Linked DNA regions of Stegostoma tigrinum. The protein of the gene in region 2 interacts with the protein of the main gene of each other region in a biochemical or structural test. Links are inferred from orthologs where the notes say so. Each region holds a gene or a part of one and is shown on either strand. Other genes may lie near its edges. The genes, in order: lmo2 and tal1.

Region 1 (8,178 bases), on a different chromosome or scaffold from region 2:
TTAAAAGATTACAGTTTTTGATGAGTCACAGCAGATAACCTTTTTCAGTTTAATTCTAGGATTAGTTTAAAATGAGTGAGTATCAGTCAGCATTCTGGATGGAATTATTATGCTCATTTTGACATCACTTTGTAGTGGAGAACGAAACTGTAGCAAGTTTTACCCAAACCAGTACACATATTCAAGGGATCATTTAAAAAGCATTGTTGATGATGAGTGGCAGGAAGGTACTGTTGACATGCAGCATCATTCAGTAAAAAAAAGCTCATTGCAGAAGAACATTTTGGGTTTTGCCAGGATGAGTCAGCGACTGGTCTCATTTCAGCCTTGATCCAAACATTGACAAAAGAGTTGAATTCTGGAGATGAGGTGAGAAAGATTGTTCTTAGCATCAAGCGGCATTTAATTGAGTGTGGCATCAAAAACCTGAGCAAAACTTTAAACAAAAAGAGAATCATGGAAATCTCCCTACTGGGTGGAGTCACACCAAGCACAAAGGAGCTCAAACATTGTTGGAGGTTAATCATCTCCCTCCGAGAGCACTGCTGCAGGAATTCCTTGGGGTTATCTCAGAATACGGGCAAGAAAGTTGAACAAGCTAAAGAAATATTCTTACAAAGAGAAAGCAGATGCTTCAAACACCAAACAACCTCCTTTTGTAACCATTCTATGTGTTTACGAAGAATTTTTCAAGTTCGTTTGTAAGATCATTATAATGTATTTCTTGGTCATAGGCTTTCAAAGAAAATATTTGTTTCATTTTAAGCTGCATAAGGAAACACATTCATTTGCATAGTTCTTTTCATAGCCTCAAAAATTCTGATAGCTGTCAGACACAGAGCCACAATCAACTCAGACATAACCTTATTTAATGGTGAAGCAGACTCCATGTATCAAATCCTGCTCCTATTTCTTATGTGAATTGATCACTGTTGTCACAGAGGGAAGTGCAGGAGCAAAATTTCAACAATAATAAGATAAATGACAAATAATCTTGATATTGGCTGAAGGGACATTAGCCAGAACTCTCCAACATTTCCACAAATCATAGAACAGAATATTGTCACATCCAGCTGACCAGGCCAATGGTCTCTGCTTGAATGTTATATCTGAGGAACAGTGCCTTTAATGATACAGTGCTCCTATTTTGGGGTCATTTAGCTCGGCTGGTTTACAGTGCACTGTGGCACCACGAGAATGGATTCAACTCTCACACCAGCTAAGGTTACCATGAAGACTCTCCTTCTCACCCTCTCCCCTCACCTGAGATTAAATGATCACCAGCCATCTCTCACTCTTCAATGAGAGAGCATCCCAACGGTCTGGGCAGACGATAGTGACTTTAACTTAACTAACTCGACAATGTACTCAAGTGCCAGTCTGGGTTTTGAGCTGAATGGAGTCTGATGCTTCAATTTTCCGATTCCAAAGCAACAGTATTACCCATGAGCCAAGCTTCCTTAAATACTTATACTCACAACTGTGTCTTGAAAATTTCAGTGTAGCAGTTGATGTCCCAAAGGGATCGATAATAGAAAGATGAGTGAGATAGGGGCATTATTATAAGCGATGTACTGTTATTGTAAGATAGAACAATGTTGGTTTAAGGCTACACAATCTTCTTAAATAAACAGACGATGGTTAGAAAGCATTCTTCAATTGGAAGCTCAGCTTAGAAGCACGCAAAATATTTAGTCCTTTTCACATATTGGCATTGAAAATATATTACAGAAACTACGGATTCAAAAGTGCTATTGTGACCACATTTTCCATCATATTTCAGCAATATGCCTAAAAAATGCTTGTTTAAAATGAAAGAAAAATGGCTGGAGGGTTCATTCCCTTGCAGCTGGCTGAAGGGGAAGTTCAACTTAAAATATGAAGAGGTCACGAGAATTCCCCAAAGAGAGAGCGGCTCCAAAATATTAATATTGAAGTGACGGGTCCGCTGATAACGGATAAGTGGCAGATCAAATACACTTTGTGAACTGGGGAGGTTGGGGTTGTTGCGGGGGGCGGCGCGGTGGCGGTTACCGTGAAGAATATCGCTCGCCCTTCACTCGGTTTTTACATGTATTGAGTATGAATCAAACAGTTCCCACAACGCCGTCCTGCTAAAGGGCTAAAAGTTGCTCAGATCAAAAGACATGAGTAAACATGTCCAATAAATCAAAACTGAAATGATGCATGGTACATGACTGTCGCGGAAGAATTGTCTCTGGCGCGTCAATGTAAAGTTTATGAAATAATAAAATGAAAATAAATGCAATCCGTAAGATGTTACCATCTTCAAAACCCCAAGTGGTTAAGATCAGGGGCTTTTCTTTTAGTTGTAAGGCCATTATGTTGTCTCGTAGAAATCAAGAATATCGAGATGATTAGAAATCTCACAATCAGATGGTGTCTCTCTGGTCTGACTGTGTGCACGGACCCATGTTTGAGGAAATTGTTCAATCCTTGATCGGTTTGACTGAATCGAGTGCAATCTCTACACCTTTACAGCGGTTTGCAACGCAAATGAAAACGAGCCGGCAGTTTAACTCACTCTGCATTTTCCAGCGATTTCCTCTCGATTGTTGCTGACATTGGTTCGGGGACGGAGCAGGGTCGCCAACTCTGTCTCTCGCTCTCTCTCTCTCTTGTCTCTGCAAGGCCCTGAAGCTGCTGCTGGCTTTTTTTTATATACTGCGCTGAGCCCAGATCACACGTTTCCTTTTCCTCATCACGACTCGGACAATGCGCGGAAATTCGTGTTCGAGCCGCAGCTTTGAAGCGTCGTCAAGGGACCCTTCCTACAAAACAACACTCATCACTTTTAAAGAGGCAGGAGCCTGCTTGTGTTAAAGGCGCAGGGCAACACCGCTCTGAGAAACAATTGCAGCATTGCAATGACCAAACACTTGATCTATTTTCCTGCACCTATCTTTTCATTAAAATATGCATAATATAACCGCACGTGTTATATACATATTAAGTAAAACAGTAAAACCATTATAAACACAAAGCGTTTATGATAAAGATCCATTTTAATCAATGGTGCATCATGAAGTTCATTAAATTTGACTGCTATAATTTAAAACAATAAAATAATGAATATTATTTCGCACCAGAATATTAGACGTTTATTCGAATAATTTAGAATAATTAAAAATTAGCTTAAGAAGCTAATTGTTTTGAGGTTTTGATAATTAGCTCACGAAGCTTGATCTTGACAATGTGATGGGCTTTGGGAGTTGATACTGCTTTCTGTTCTCAGTCTGGATTACTAGTCCAGTCCCATTACTACTTGGAAGATGTGCAAAGGGCGACAAAATGTACTCTGGGTGGAAAACTTCGACCCCAGTTGACAGAAGACTGCAAGACTCAATAGGGGAGCCAGCATATCAGTGCAAAAGGGAGAGGCATTTGCAACTGTCAGCAGTCAGAGGTGTTCAGTGGGTGATCTCTCAGCCTCCCCCTGAGGGCCTCATTATCACAGCCACCAGTCCTCAACCAAATCACTCCAGATGACATCAGAGAATACTGAAGGCACTGTATGTGACAAAAGTCACCAACTCTGCCAACGTTCTCAATAGTTTGGAGACTTGTGATCCAAAACTAACCAAGTTGTACAGTGACAACGGTGATATCTACCCAGCAATGTGGAAAACTGTCTAGGTGTATCCTGTTCACAAATTGCTGGACAAATCCAACCTGGCCATTCATTCTACTCTCATGCAACAGCAAAGTCATAGAAAGTGTAATTGAGAGTGAAGCAGCACTTACACGGCAATACTCATTCATGTTCAATAATGCTTATTCATTTGGTTAGTTTGGCTTCTGCCTGGGTCACTCAGCTTCAGTCCTCATTACAATCTTTGTCCAAACACAGAAAGATCACTAAACTCAAGGTGAGGTGAGATTGACTGCCATTGACATCAAGGCTGTATGTGATTGAGTCTGGTATCAAGGAGCTTGAGAAAAGTTGGCCAATGGGAGTCAGGAGCAAAATTCTTGACTGCTGGATTCAGCACAAAGGAAAATTCTTTGAGTTGCAGGGTGTCAGTCATCTCTGTGTCAGGATGTCACTGCAGAAGTTCATCAGAGTAAAGTGTTTGGCCAAATCATCTTCAGTTGTTTCAGCAGTGACTTTGCCTCCATTGTAAAGTCAGAAATGGGGCTGCACTGGAAGATTACACAATGTTCTGTATCATTTATGTCTTCTTGTATACTGAAGCAGTCTGTGTCCAAACGCAGCAAGACCTGGGTAGCTTGGATTGATAAGTAGCAAATAACATTCAAGTCACACAAGTGCCAAGCAATAACTATTTACCACTGGAGAGATTTCAGAACCCTGAGGCCTGGAGGGATCTGAGTGTCCTGGTACATGAATCAGAAAATTTGTACACAAGCACAGCAAGTGCTTAGGAAGGCACATGGATTGGTGCTATTGATTGCAATGTGAATAGAAAATATAAAATTAAAGATGATTTGCTACTTTGGACTTTGGTGAGACCACATAGAGAGTGCTGAGTGCAGATTTGTCCTTAGTTAAGAATAGGCATAATTGCATCAGAAGCAGTTCAGAGGAAGTTCACTTGATTGATTTCATGGAATGGAATGCCTTATGAGGACCAGTTGGACAGGCTGGGTCTGTATGTATCCTTTGGAGGTTAGAAGAATGATGATCTTACTGAAACATACAAGATCCTGACAGGACTTGACGAAGGGAGTGCTAAATTGATGTCTCCCTCCATGGGAGAGCTGGGTGACATTGTTTAAAAATAAAGCTGCCATTTAAAGTGTAAATGAGAAGTTTTTTTCCTCTCGCAGAGGGTCTGTGGAATGAACTTCTGGCCAGAGTGGTGGAGTAGAGGTAGAGGTAGATAGATTTTTGGCAGACATGGGATTCAAAAGGAACTGAGGCCACAATCAAATCAACCCATGATTTGAATGAATGGGGGAGGAGGCTCAACAGGCTGAATGGCTTTCTACTGCTCCTAGGTTGAATATGGATCGCTTCAATCAACCTGGGGAAGTTGGAGTTAACCACTGATCAGAGACCGAATTGGACTAGCTATGTGAATACCATGGCTACCAAGTCAGAGGCTGAAAGGTCTGAGAGAGTAAGTCATCTTTTGGTCTCTGCATGTCCTATCCATCATATACAAGGCACAACTCAGAAGTGTGACACACTAATCTTTAATTGCCTGGATGAGCAAAGCCCCAATAACAACATTCAAGAATCTCAACACTATCCTGGACACAGCAGCCTGGTGGGCACTCCACCCAACATCTTCAACATTAACACCACCGTAGAGTCATAGAGCTGTACAGCATGGCAATAGATCCTCCAGTGCCATGTTTGCCAGCCAGATATCTGAAACAGATTAGTCCCGTTTGCTAGTATTTGGCCCATATCCCTCTAAACCCTTCCTATTCATGTACCCATCCAAATGCCTTTCAAATGTTCTAACTGTCCCGGCCTCTACCACATCCTCTGGTAGCCCATTCCATACACACATCACGCTCTGTGTGCAAAAGTGCCCCTGAGGTCCCTTTTAAATCTTTCCCTTCTCACCTTAAATCTATTCCCTCTTGTTTGAGACTCCTGTATCCTGGGAGAAAGGCCTTGTGTATTCACCCTATCCATGCCCCTCACCATTGTATAAACCTCTATGAGGTTACCCCTCAGCCTCTGATGCTTAAGGGAAAATCAGGCCCAGCCCCCTCAGCCCCTCCCTATAACTCAAACCCTCCAATCCCAGCAACATCCTTGTAAATCTTTTCTGAGCTCTTTCAGGTTTCACAACATCCTTCCTGTAGCAAGGAGACCAGATTTGAACACAGTATTCTAAAAGTGACATCACCAATGTCTTGTACAGACACAACATAACATTCCAATTCCATACTCAACGTTCTGACCAAGGAAGCTAAGCGTAGCATATGCCGTCTTCATCACCCTGTCCACCTCCAACTTCACTTTCAAGGCACTGTGCACCTGCACCATTCGGTCTCTTTATGTTCAGCAACACTCCTAAAAACCTTATCATTAATTGTATATGTCCTGCTCCGATTTGCCTTACCAAAATGCAGCACCTCACATTTATCTAAATTAAACTCCATCTGCCACTCATTGGCCTGTCTTATTGAAGTCCCATTGTACATCTCCAATGCACACTGGCAGTGTGTACCATTTACAACTTGCACTGCAGTAAACCACCAATCTTCCTTTAACAGCATGTTCCAAACTAAGTATCACTATTACTTCGAAGGACAAGGGCATTAGGTGAATAGGAACACCACCACCTTCAAGTTCCCTGACAAGTCATGAATGAACCATTTTGTTATCCTTTACTATCGAAGGATCAAGATCCCAGAGCTCTGGTCCCAGCAATACTCGGGGTATATTTCCATAAAGCAGACTTCAGTGGTTCAAGAAAAAAGGTCACCACCATCTTCTCAAGCACAATTAGGCATGGGCAACAAATGTAGGCTTTTCCAGTGATGCACACATGCCATGAATGAATAAAAAGTAACGACGATCTCATGTAAGTAACCAATCATCTAGACACCAAGTCGGACAGGAGATCTAGTTTAATCTGAATCCTGATTATGTTAGTGGGTCTCCATTTACAAGTAAACATGATATTGAGATGGTCAGCAGAGATAATGGGAACTGCAGATGCTGGAGAATCCGAGATAACAAAGTGTGGAGCTGGATGAACACAGCAGGCCAAGCAGCATCTCAGGAGCACAAAAGCTGACGTTTTCAAGCCTTCATCAGAGAGTGGAATGGGGAGAAGGTTCTGAAATAAATAGAGAGAGAGGAGGAGGTGGACCGAAGATGGATTCAAGAGAGTTGTAGTGGGAGAGCGATTCCCTGGGATTGGTCTGGAGGGAGGAGGATAACTTCTTCAGGTTAAGCATCCCTGGAAGAGGCTTCACAGTGAGGTTAAAACTGTGATCAGAGATAATGGGAACTGCTCTGATGAAGGGTCTAGGCCCGAAACGTCAGCTTTTGTGCTCCTGAGATGCTGCTTGGCCTGCTGTGTTCATCTAGCTTCACACTTTGTTATCTTGGATTCTCCAGCATCTGCAGTTCCCATTATCTCTGATCACAATTTTAACCTCACTTTGAAGCCTCTTCCAGGGATGCCTAACTTGAAGAAGTTACCCTCCTCCCCCCCGACCAACCTCAGGGAATCTCTCTCCCATTGCAACTCTCTTGTATCCATCTTCGGTCCGCCTTCCCCTCTCTCCCTATTTATTTCAGAACCCTCCCCCCATCCCCCTCTCTGATGAAGGGTCTCGGCCTGAAACGTCAACATTTGTGCTCCTGAGATGCTGCTTAGCCTGCTGTGTTCATAGAGATGGGCATGTAATGATATACATTTGTAATACACAGCAAAGAGGGGTGTCAGATAGCTCTGTTGTTACAATCAGATCTGTGGTGAGGTTACCCAATTTGTAACAGTTTCAGACAAGGCACCTCAAATTGTAAAATTCCCAGATGAGGAGGAATGAACCACCTCCTCTGGTTTGGTCACCCATTCCCTCCGTTGGTTTCAATGATGTTCATTTAAAAATAAAGATCCTTTCCCTTGTGAATGCCTTTCTCCCAGACCGAGATAAACCTGGGTTTTCTAAAAAAATGTTTAAATTAAACAGGCTCCCTTGATGTACAAAAAGAGTGGGTTTATTGCTTACTGCATGTGAAAAGAAGTAGTAACACAACACACATAGACACAGAGTAGAGCTAAGAGGTGAGACCAAAAAGATAGAACTATAAAATGTATAAATCAGTCATTGAACTGTTCACGAAGAGCACATAAGATAATGTTGCTGCCATTATTAGATAACATCCATAGTGTTGACTTTGGTAGCTTTGCAGGTTGGAAGACATTATGTTGTGCGGATTCTTTTCCAGCATTCAGCGTTGACTGTTCTTTCCCTTTGTTAACGACAGTACAAGGGTGTTGAAAATGACTGTTCTCTAAGCTGTGGCCCTCACAGTTATAGTGATCACACATTAGGCCATCTGGTCAAAAACACATACAGGTTAGTGTCGCAGTCAGTTCTTTTGTATATTCACAGAGGGTAAAACGGACATGTTGACAGAGGTGTCTTTTTGCTGAAGGGGGTAGTAGTCAGCCCCATTGTTAACTCTTCCTGTTGAATTTCTCTGTTTGCAGTTTT
Region 2 (8,379 bases):
CTGACTGTCAAAAATCTCCTCTAAGAGGCTGTTCCTTGGGGTAAATTGACAATAATTTTCAAGAAAACAAAAAAAAGCAAAGATTTGTCAACAATGGAAATATGAAATCCATGGCTTGTTCTAAAAAAAATCAAATGAAATTGTGATCACTAGTTAACCTGAAAGCAATTGATATCAATTTATTGCTTTTTTGAGCCCGGGGCATATCGATTTTCATTCCAATGTTTGTCTTGTAGTTATTCAGATTCTACAAACTAGAAAACAGGTTCACTATCTTCCAAAATAAAGGAAAGGTTGAAATACCGCTACTTACTGGCATGAGACTGACCTGTTTAAACGTGGCAAGGTTTGATACTGGGATGTGCTGTTATACAGCATTGCTCTGGCTGCAGGCAGAGGGAGATGTGCTGCCGTTAACTGGACCATCCGATTCTCACTCACTGGACTTTGAAGAGTCAGAGGCACCGGGGGTCTTGACAACTCGGTGGTCGGTACTGAATGAGTAAAAGTGCCTTTCTGATCCCTCTCATTTATAGGCTGCACCCCTCTTTGCATCAGGTTTATGACTGGCACTTCCGATAGGGGATCAGGGGAGTCGTGTCTCGTTTCCTTGGAAACTCCATCATTTGACGCAGATTGTTGCTCGGCTTGGAGCTGCTGTCCCTCAGTGCACTGATCTGCAGGCTCGCTCGTGCTTTCCGCTTCCTCGCGGTCTGCTCTATGTCTGGGGAAATCTTTCTGCACAGGACTCAGATCATCGCTGGGATTTTCACCAAGATCAGACCCGATTTTTTCCATCATCTTGTCGAAAAGTGGAACTCTTCACCGTCTTGACTGCGTTACCATGAGATGTCAAAAGGATGGAGAAATGCTGAAACAACTTCATCTGCAAGAAATACTCCCCTGAGACAAAATAAAAATCTTTAAGGAGAAGACTTCATAATTAAATCGTTTACATTTTATTGAAGTAAATTTGCTCATGATCTTTGCATCGTACTAACCTAGTTGTCAATTGACAGGCCCATTTTTATGAACAAAATCTCAAATAGTGCAACCAATCGAGTGGCTGAGAATCCATCAAGGGTTTATCGGATTCCATATGTATTATTAGACTAAAATTCACCATTCATTTTTAACACGAGAGTGTGATATCGACATTATTAAAATTTGAATGTAATTTATTTCAGTGCGAAAAGCTCAGAAATCAGCTTTCTTTCTCTGGTTTGTTAACTTAGGCTTAAACTCTGAGTACAAATGCTTTTACATCGATGAAATCATAAACCAGTGATTCAAAATTGCGCAAGAAAGTTAATAACTCTTTAAAAAATAATCTGAATACAGGATGTGCAGCATTCTTTCGTAATCTTCCATCTGAAAGAAATCGCTTTTATTTCCCCCCTTAAGGTGAAGCTAATATTCTCCAGACAACACCATGGGCAATATTGGGGGCATATTTTACATCACATTTAGAAAACGCCTAGTTCAATTCATGTCACCCTGCAGTGTAACTGATGTCAAAGAATTACAACGAGTTCTTCTTGGCTGCTGTTATTTCCATAGTACCGTTGAATCTTGCTGTGCAGATCTCACTGGGAAACTGGGTTCGTTCTTACACTAAAGTCGACAAAGGAAGCCAGCACCTGCAGCATTTCATTCCGCTTTATTCTTTTTCTAACATAAAGCCTCTTGGAAGGATTAAGCATTTCTCAGTTTATGGAAAACCAACCAAGATACTTAAGACAGTTGATCAATTAAGGATTACGTTTAAACACTCTCTAAATTCTAAAGCTGCAGGGCACGTTGTAATCTTTTTTCAATGAATTGAGCTCAGAGACGTATATGTGTATTAGAAGATTGAAATTTAACCTTGAGATTACATTGCTATATTGTGCATAACCCATTTAAAATGAAACAAAACGACGTTGATAATGCGGGGTGCAATTCGCTCAGTCTTGAATGTATACGTACCCTCCGATAAACCGCCTTTCCCAAAACATACATAGATTGTAAAATTCATTGTGAATTAAGTGACCAACTGCACCTCCATACGATCAAATCCTCCATGTTGCTCACTTTAGCAAATAGATGTAGAATCTATTTCCCGAAATAGCGCAGACTCATGTAAATACCCAGTGCATAGAAAATATTCCCATCATCTTCCTGCTGCAATGATGGGAACTCTTTTGTGTCCCTTTAAACTGACGTTCAAATGAACAATCCCTGGTTGCAGAGCATGTATATCAAGGCAGTGCAACGTGAGGCCTGAGCGGAATGGAAAGGTCCAAATAAACACATGAGGACAATGGGACAAATGAGGGCAGTCTGGATGCACGGAGGCTGCCAGCCCTAATCTCCGATGTTTGTAACAGTCAGATATTTTGAAGATTCTGACGCATTAGCTTAAAGCATTTAAAACGTTTGATTTAAAGTGATCTCCCCTTAATGTGCACAGAAACGAAACAAAACTATAGCAGGTATTTAAGGGCTATTCATTGGCAAGTGCCTATATTTTGGCTGCACTACAGAAATACAACATCTTACAATTGAGATTTCACAACGATGTCCTTAAAATTGCTCTCATCTATCAGAATAATTTGGTGGATGACATTCCCAGCAAAACTCCGAGCGAGTTCGTTGATAGCGGTTTCTAAGTTCATGGAACGAATCTGTGCGAATGTAATCAGCTAGTACGTACTCAACAATATCTTAAAAGGAGTCGCTATTGCTTTTCTGACAAAAAAAAATCGTTGTTTTCTCCCATAAATGAATAACCATTGAGATTAATATCTTTTTTTCTCTCTGACAAATTCTTTAGATGCGCAAGATGGCAATTGTGAAAAACTATTGGATCGTAACATATTAAAGCGTCTCCATCCGTTTCTGTCACTGTGCCGGTATTTCCCTTAGAAAAAAAATCTTGATGTATACGAATCAAATTAAAATATCATTAGGGATTGTATTATACATAATCCATTAAGCGATTCAAAATGTCCCAAAAAGACCCCTCACTCCTGGGACTATTGAAAACAATGCTTGCAGCCATTTCTATTTTTTTTAAATTCTACTTTTTTTTAACAAAAAGTCCTTTTATATTGTAATCATTTATACTCAATTTGAAACCAGTTATATTTTGACATTTGAAAATGTAGAAGAATAAAAGACACACTAAAGAGGTGGCAATTAGAAATCTACTCACCATCCTTGTTTATTAGAAAAGTGTTAGCAGCCATTTTCAGTCCCTTCCATGGCTGATCTTTGTGCTGTAATAAGTTTTTTTGGCAGCTTGTGCCTTGGAGAGTGGAGTAGATTTTACATCACGTTCGATTTCCTATTTAGTATGGAGAGCGGAACACTACAGCAATGTGGCCAGGCGAGATAAGAAACCAGCACTGGCCGCCCTGCCCAGATAAGACAGCCAAGCCATTATTTATGAAATGATTCATTATTATTTGGCAATTTTATCGAGGGAAAGCGGAAAAATATTGCATGGATATGCATAGGAATAACTTTGGAACGCAAGGCATAAAAACCTTATATAGGTTTTTTGTGGCACTAAAAGACACTGCAGAATAGCAAAATGCTCTTGCCTGCCTACCTGAATTGTAATTTATATTTTTTTTCTCTGTGGCAATTATTCCATATTTTCATTAAATTGGAAACACCTACTCAGCCCTTAATTAATTTTAATGACGAAGTCAATGCATCGAGAGGACTGTTCGTTTTTTTTTCGGTCTCTCTATGATAGAACCAAACAAAGCCGCTGTTAAGGAAGGAGATTGAGTAAAATAGTTTCCCATGCTTCCTCGCCAGTTTGAAAATATAGACATTTCCTAGACAGGCATTTTACCATCAACAGTGCTAAAGTCCGGTATGTTTTAAGTCCTAAAAGAAATGACTTTTATCAGGTTTGTGATTGCACTACAATTGTCTGGAACAAATTCAACATTGGGCCTAAGAGGGAAGATGTCTTATTAAAACGTTCTTAAAAGATTGGTACAAAGGCTGATTATTCGATTACATTTTAATTGATCAAATTGACTTTTCGTGGCTAAAATCATTTCCTTTTAGCTTGACAATAATAAGGCTGCATTTCCATTTTAAAATGAAGTATTATAAAATACATTTTTTGTCCCTAAACTTCTCTTAAATTGCATTACAACGTCGAATATACTGAGCATTGAAGAGCAATTAATTGATATCACACGTAAAAATTAAATAGATAAAATGAATCCATATGTTCGACCAACATTGTTAAAACAGTGGGTATGATGCTAAGAAGTTATATTTTCCACAAAGTTTCAGTTAAAGGGGACAGTCATGGGAATTTAATCACTAGATTTAGCTTCTCCCCTATAAAGTAGAGTAATTGTGGATGTGTATTTCTGAGTCTTCTCATTGTAAAAAAAACAATCGGTATTTGTCAAGATTTATTCGATCAACAGAATATTTTCTGTTGTAGTAACTGTTGTACACAATAACTTACATATTCATTAACTCTTTAATAATCGCGGCTGTGCTAGCCATAACCCAAAGAGAATATTTGACCTTCGGTTCCTATGCTGTTAGCTACACATTGGGCATATGCGGTACAGAATGTAACTGAGGCTAAAAATAAATTCTATAAAAGGAGTAAATAAGTTGGTGATTATTATGTGCCTATAGAATTTATAACTAGTGCGGTTAACACATTGCAATATTTTACCGGATTAATCTGCTCCGAATCCCAAGCTCTTAGGGACATTGATTGTGACCATCAGTGGATTGATAGTAACTTCAGTGTACTTTTAATATTGTTACTATTCATTATTGAGCCAAATGTCAGCCAATTGAAGGCCATACTCAATGGTGTCTCCGATACTGTAATTTCTGCAGACGAAAGGTAAATAAGGCAGTTTAGTGCTTTACGCTGTATTTCCCCCACCCCCACCCAGAACTCTAGAACGTCATATCACGCTCTATGACTGATGTAAACTACACTGGAAATTTCATGTTGGTTTATCTATACATTCATATTTTCTGCATGGCTAACTGGAGCAAAATACAAAATAAAATAGATATCTGTAAATACAGCTACAGCTTAGCCAGGCTTGTTCCAAAAAGTAATGAATAACTATGAGCTGTAACTTGAATGTCTTGGCAGGGTTACCTTATCGCAAACAGCTGTCGTTGTAATACCCGATGATGCCCACAAAAACTGGGACCAGAGTTATGAATACTGCTGAACGTTGGCAATGGTAGTTTGTATGCGCCAATGTTTTAGTGTTTGCCTTGTTGCTATTTTGCTGTAAAGTTTCAAGCTAACTTCATTTGATCACTTCAAATGTTAAACATTTTGAGGCAAATCTAGCAGGGTATTTACAGCTTCATTTATAAGTTACGAGTAATTATTTATTGCAGCTTAAAACATTCTTGATTTTAATATAGGAACTCTTTCTATCACAACATTTTCTATCTGATTATTATAGGACAGAAAACTCTGGCTTTGGACATTATAATAGTTTTCATGAATTAGTTTCATGTTCTCTTTAAAATGTTACAATACGAATTTATGGATTGAGGGACATATATAGTTACATTCTCGAACGGTGCGCAAGTTCCCATAACGTGCCTCCGCAATTCCCTTTTACAATTAACTGTCGGAAGTCCAAAACGAACCAGATAGCAGTCTGATTAAATGGGGATAATTGAAGTCACAACAATTTAGTCAGACCGCCAACAATTTGCAGATTTGACAGTTCCATAAAACGCGTTGTTTAAGGAAAAAGCCACGTGGGGATGAAATATCTGTATGAAATCGTATTTTAATTTACCGTAGGAATCAAACCAAACCAGAAAATGGGAATAGCATATTAAATTGTTCCATACATTCAAAAGATTAGGTCTTTCTATCCCTTTAGACCTGTTGTACCATTCAATAAATTTATAGCTGATCTACCTCTGCTGCACCATAAATCTCACTTCTCTCACCTTAAACCTATGCCGGCTAGTTTTGAATTCCTCCACCATAGGAAAAAGACCTTGGGTGTTCACCCTATCATTGTCCCTCATGAGTTTATAAACCTGTATAAGGTCACCTCCAAGTCTCCCATGCCACAGAGAAAGGAGCCCCAATCTATTTAGCTTGCTGCTGTTGTGACTTTTTGCCTTTCACCCTGCATTCCACTTCAAATGCTGAAAGCGAGGGATTGCTTTTTATAGTCTGTTGCTCCATCATTTTTGGCAATGAGATGTTATAGAAAGAAAAGGTGGCAGACCTCTCTGGTGAAAGGGAGCTTGAGCTGCTGATGGATGCGGTGATGGAGAGGAGGATCAATCTTTTTTCCTCTGGATTGATCAAAGGGGACACAGGACACAGCCAATCTGGATGAAGAAAAAGCCTTGGTCAGTGTTGTTTTACAGACTAAAGGAAGTGTGCAGCAGTGCCTGAAGGAGGTTAGTGGTCTTCTGCACTTCATGAGGGTAAGTGCCATCATTATCTCTCAGTTCCCACAAACTGTCAAGTCTAAAGATCGACAAATCTCATCATTGCATGCAGCACCTTCACTCAATAGCTCTCATCTGCCTCAGATTCCTAAACATCTCCCCTTCCTCCCTTCTGTGTTTCATACTCACTCACTCCGGACATCTCACCTCTGCTGCTGCTCCTGCGCCACCATTTCCATTGACTTTCATTTTCCATCCACTTCCATTTCATTCAATTGCCCTTCTTTTCTCAGTACAGGAGAAAATGTCTCACAACTGGGCACAGAGGGACAGTCTGAATGGCTGTGTGGTTGTCATTTCAATATCAACCCACTATGGGAAGAATATGTTTGAGGTGGTTGGAGAGAACTGATACCATGCATGTGCAGTTGCTGAGGCTTCTATGTCAGGACAATTTAATGAGCTTCATTGTACTCCATTGAGTTGATCTGTCAATACTACCACCACTGATACCTTATTATTAAGATGGTCAAGCTTCTATCCCTATAGCACACATAGAGTCAAAGAGTCAAACAGCATGAAAACAGACCTTTCAATCCAAGCTGACCATAATCTCAAATTAAACTAGTTCCACCTATAATGTCCTGTTGTCTATCATGTACAAGCAACACCTATCAGGCACAAGCAACACCTACACCATCATGGCCATGAAGAAGCAAATCCTTTGCCCATAGCTTCTCAACACTCTCTGAGGTACAAGTCATAACCTATTTCAGAGAATGCACAAACAAGACTTTCACCTATGCCTTCTACCAGCTTAGATAATGATACCTTGGCGGGTGATCTATCCAGGTTAAGTTTGGGAGCACAATCTGGGAAGCATTTCACTAATATGGCTCCACAATTGTCTGAGAAAGAAGTGGCCTGGCTTGCTGGCACTCAGGGAACTATCAGAGACCAGGATTCTGCTCAGCCCTGGCAGAAAATTATCCAATGGTTTCAGCCATTAATGAATGCATCTAAATGCTTAGTCATAAAGACAGCAGGAATGTTTTTTGGAGAAATTCAGCAAACTTGAGAAATGTTTTGGAGGAATCCACCAATATTGTCAGTACCGTACTGGCTCTAACATGCGTATGTCTAGCTACTGCCATGTACAAGTTAGTGGGGTCAGTAGAATACTTAGTGAATTCCAAAAATTAATATTCATATGCATCCCATTGTTTTAGCCATCGGTGTTCAACATCAGTGGCAAGGCAAGAGGAGGATGAGGGACCTCATTCTCACTCCTGGTGCTCCTTTCTCTCAAGGAGGTAGAGTTATGCCCGCAAGCACCCAGATGCAAGAACCACAAACTAGCCTCCAGAAGTTTCTGCTCAGGACACTACAGAGGTGCCAGGCTTGTCTACCTCCAATCTGCCTGTCATCCCCAACCCTGAAGAAGTTGCAGCCAAAGAGGTGAACATGTATCTGCACACCTCTCAGCCACCAACTTCCCTCGAGTCATCCACTCAAATTTTCTCGGCCAACAGGGTCTGATATCAGACAGGCTGTCTCCATTTCAGTTCTGGATCCTGCGACAGCACCCAGACATAATGGGAGGCCAAGGGAATAAACCCTCTGATTACATATAAATGGCATGAGTGACACATCATTGTACATATACTTTCACATCTGTATATATAGATACACCTTTCACCACTATATGCCTAACTAGCTGTCATTTTGGCTGTATGACCTGTCTTGTTGGCTACCATTGTAGAGTAAAGGAGCCCCTTCAAATAACTTGAGGATAATAGTTATATAGGCAAGGCATTGCTCAATCCTGAGAACATGCCAGACAGCAATAGATTTTAGCAATCCTTCAAACCTTACATTCATTAGTATAGTATAGCCCATAATGAGCACTTTATTGAAATCACGAATGCCAAATGTAGTGTGAACAGCTTGCATTAG

The links.
Region 1: the proteins of tal1 (region 2) and lmo2 form a complex in vitro, tested with the Homo sapiens proteins (2 studies listed by BioGRID). The link is inferred for Stegostoma tigrinum from reciprocal best matches to the Homo sapiens genes TAL1 and LMO2.

Annotation. Positions count from the first base shown.
Region 1 is NC_081370.1:45,064,157-45,072,334, forward strand, and holds the start of lmo2 (rhombotin-2), read right to left. Parts: upstream 3,408-8,178; 5' UTR 3,198-3,407; intron 2,793-3,197; 5' UTR 2,587-2,792; coding exon 2,546-2,586; intron 1-2,545. UniProt on the Homo sapiens protein: Acts with TAL1/SCL to regulate red blood cell development. Also acts with LDB1 to maintain erythroid precursors in an immature state.
Region 2 is NC_081361.1:59,149,399-59,157,777, forward strand, and holds the start of tal1 (T-cell acute lymphocytic leukemia protein 1 homolog), read right to left. Parts: upstream 3,384-8,379; 5' UTR 3,197-3,383; intron 2,267-3,196; exon of another isoform or gene 1,969-2,266; intron 904-1,968; 5' UTR 802-903; coding exon 314-801; intron 1-313. UniProt on the Homo sapiens protein: Implicated in the genesis of hemopoietic malignancies. It may play an important role in hemopoietic differentiation. Serves as a positive regulator of erythroid differentiation.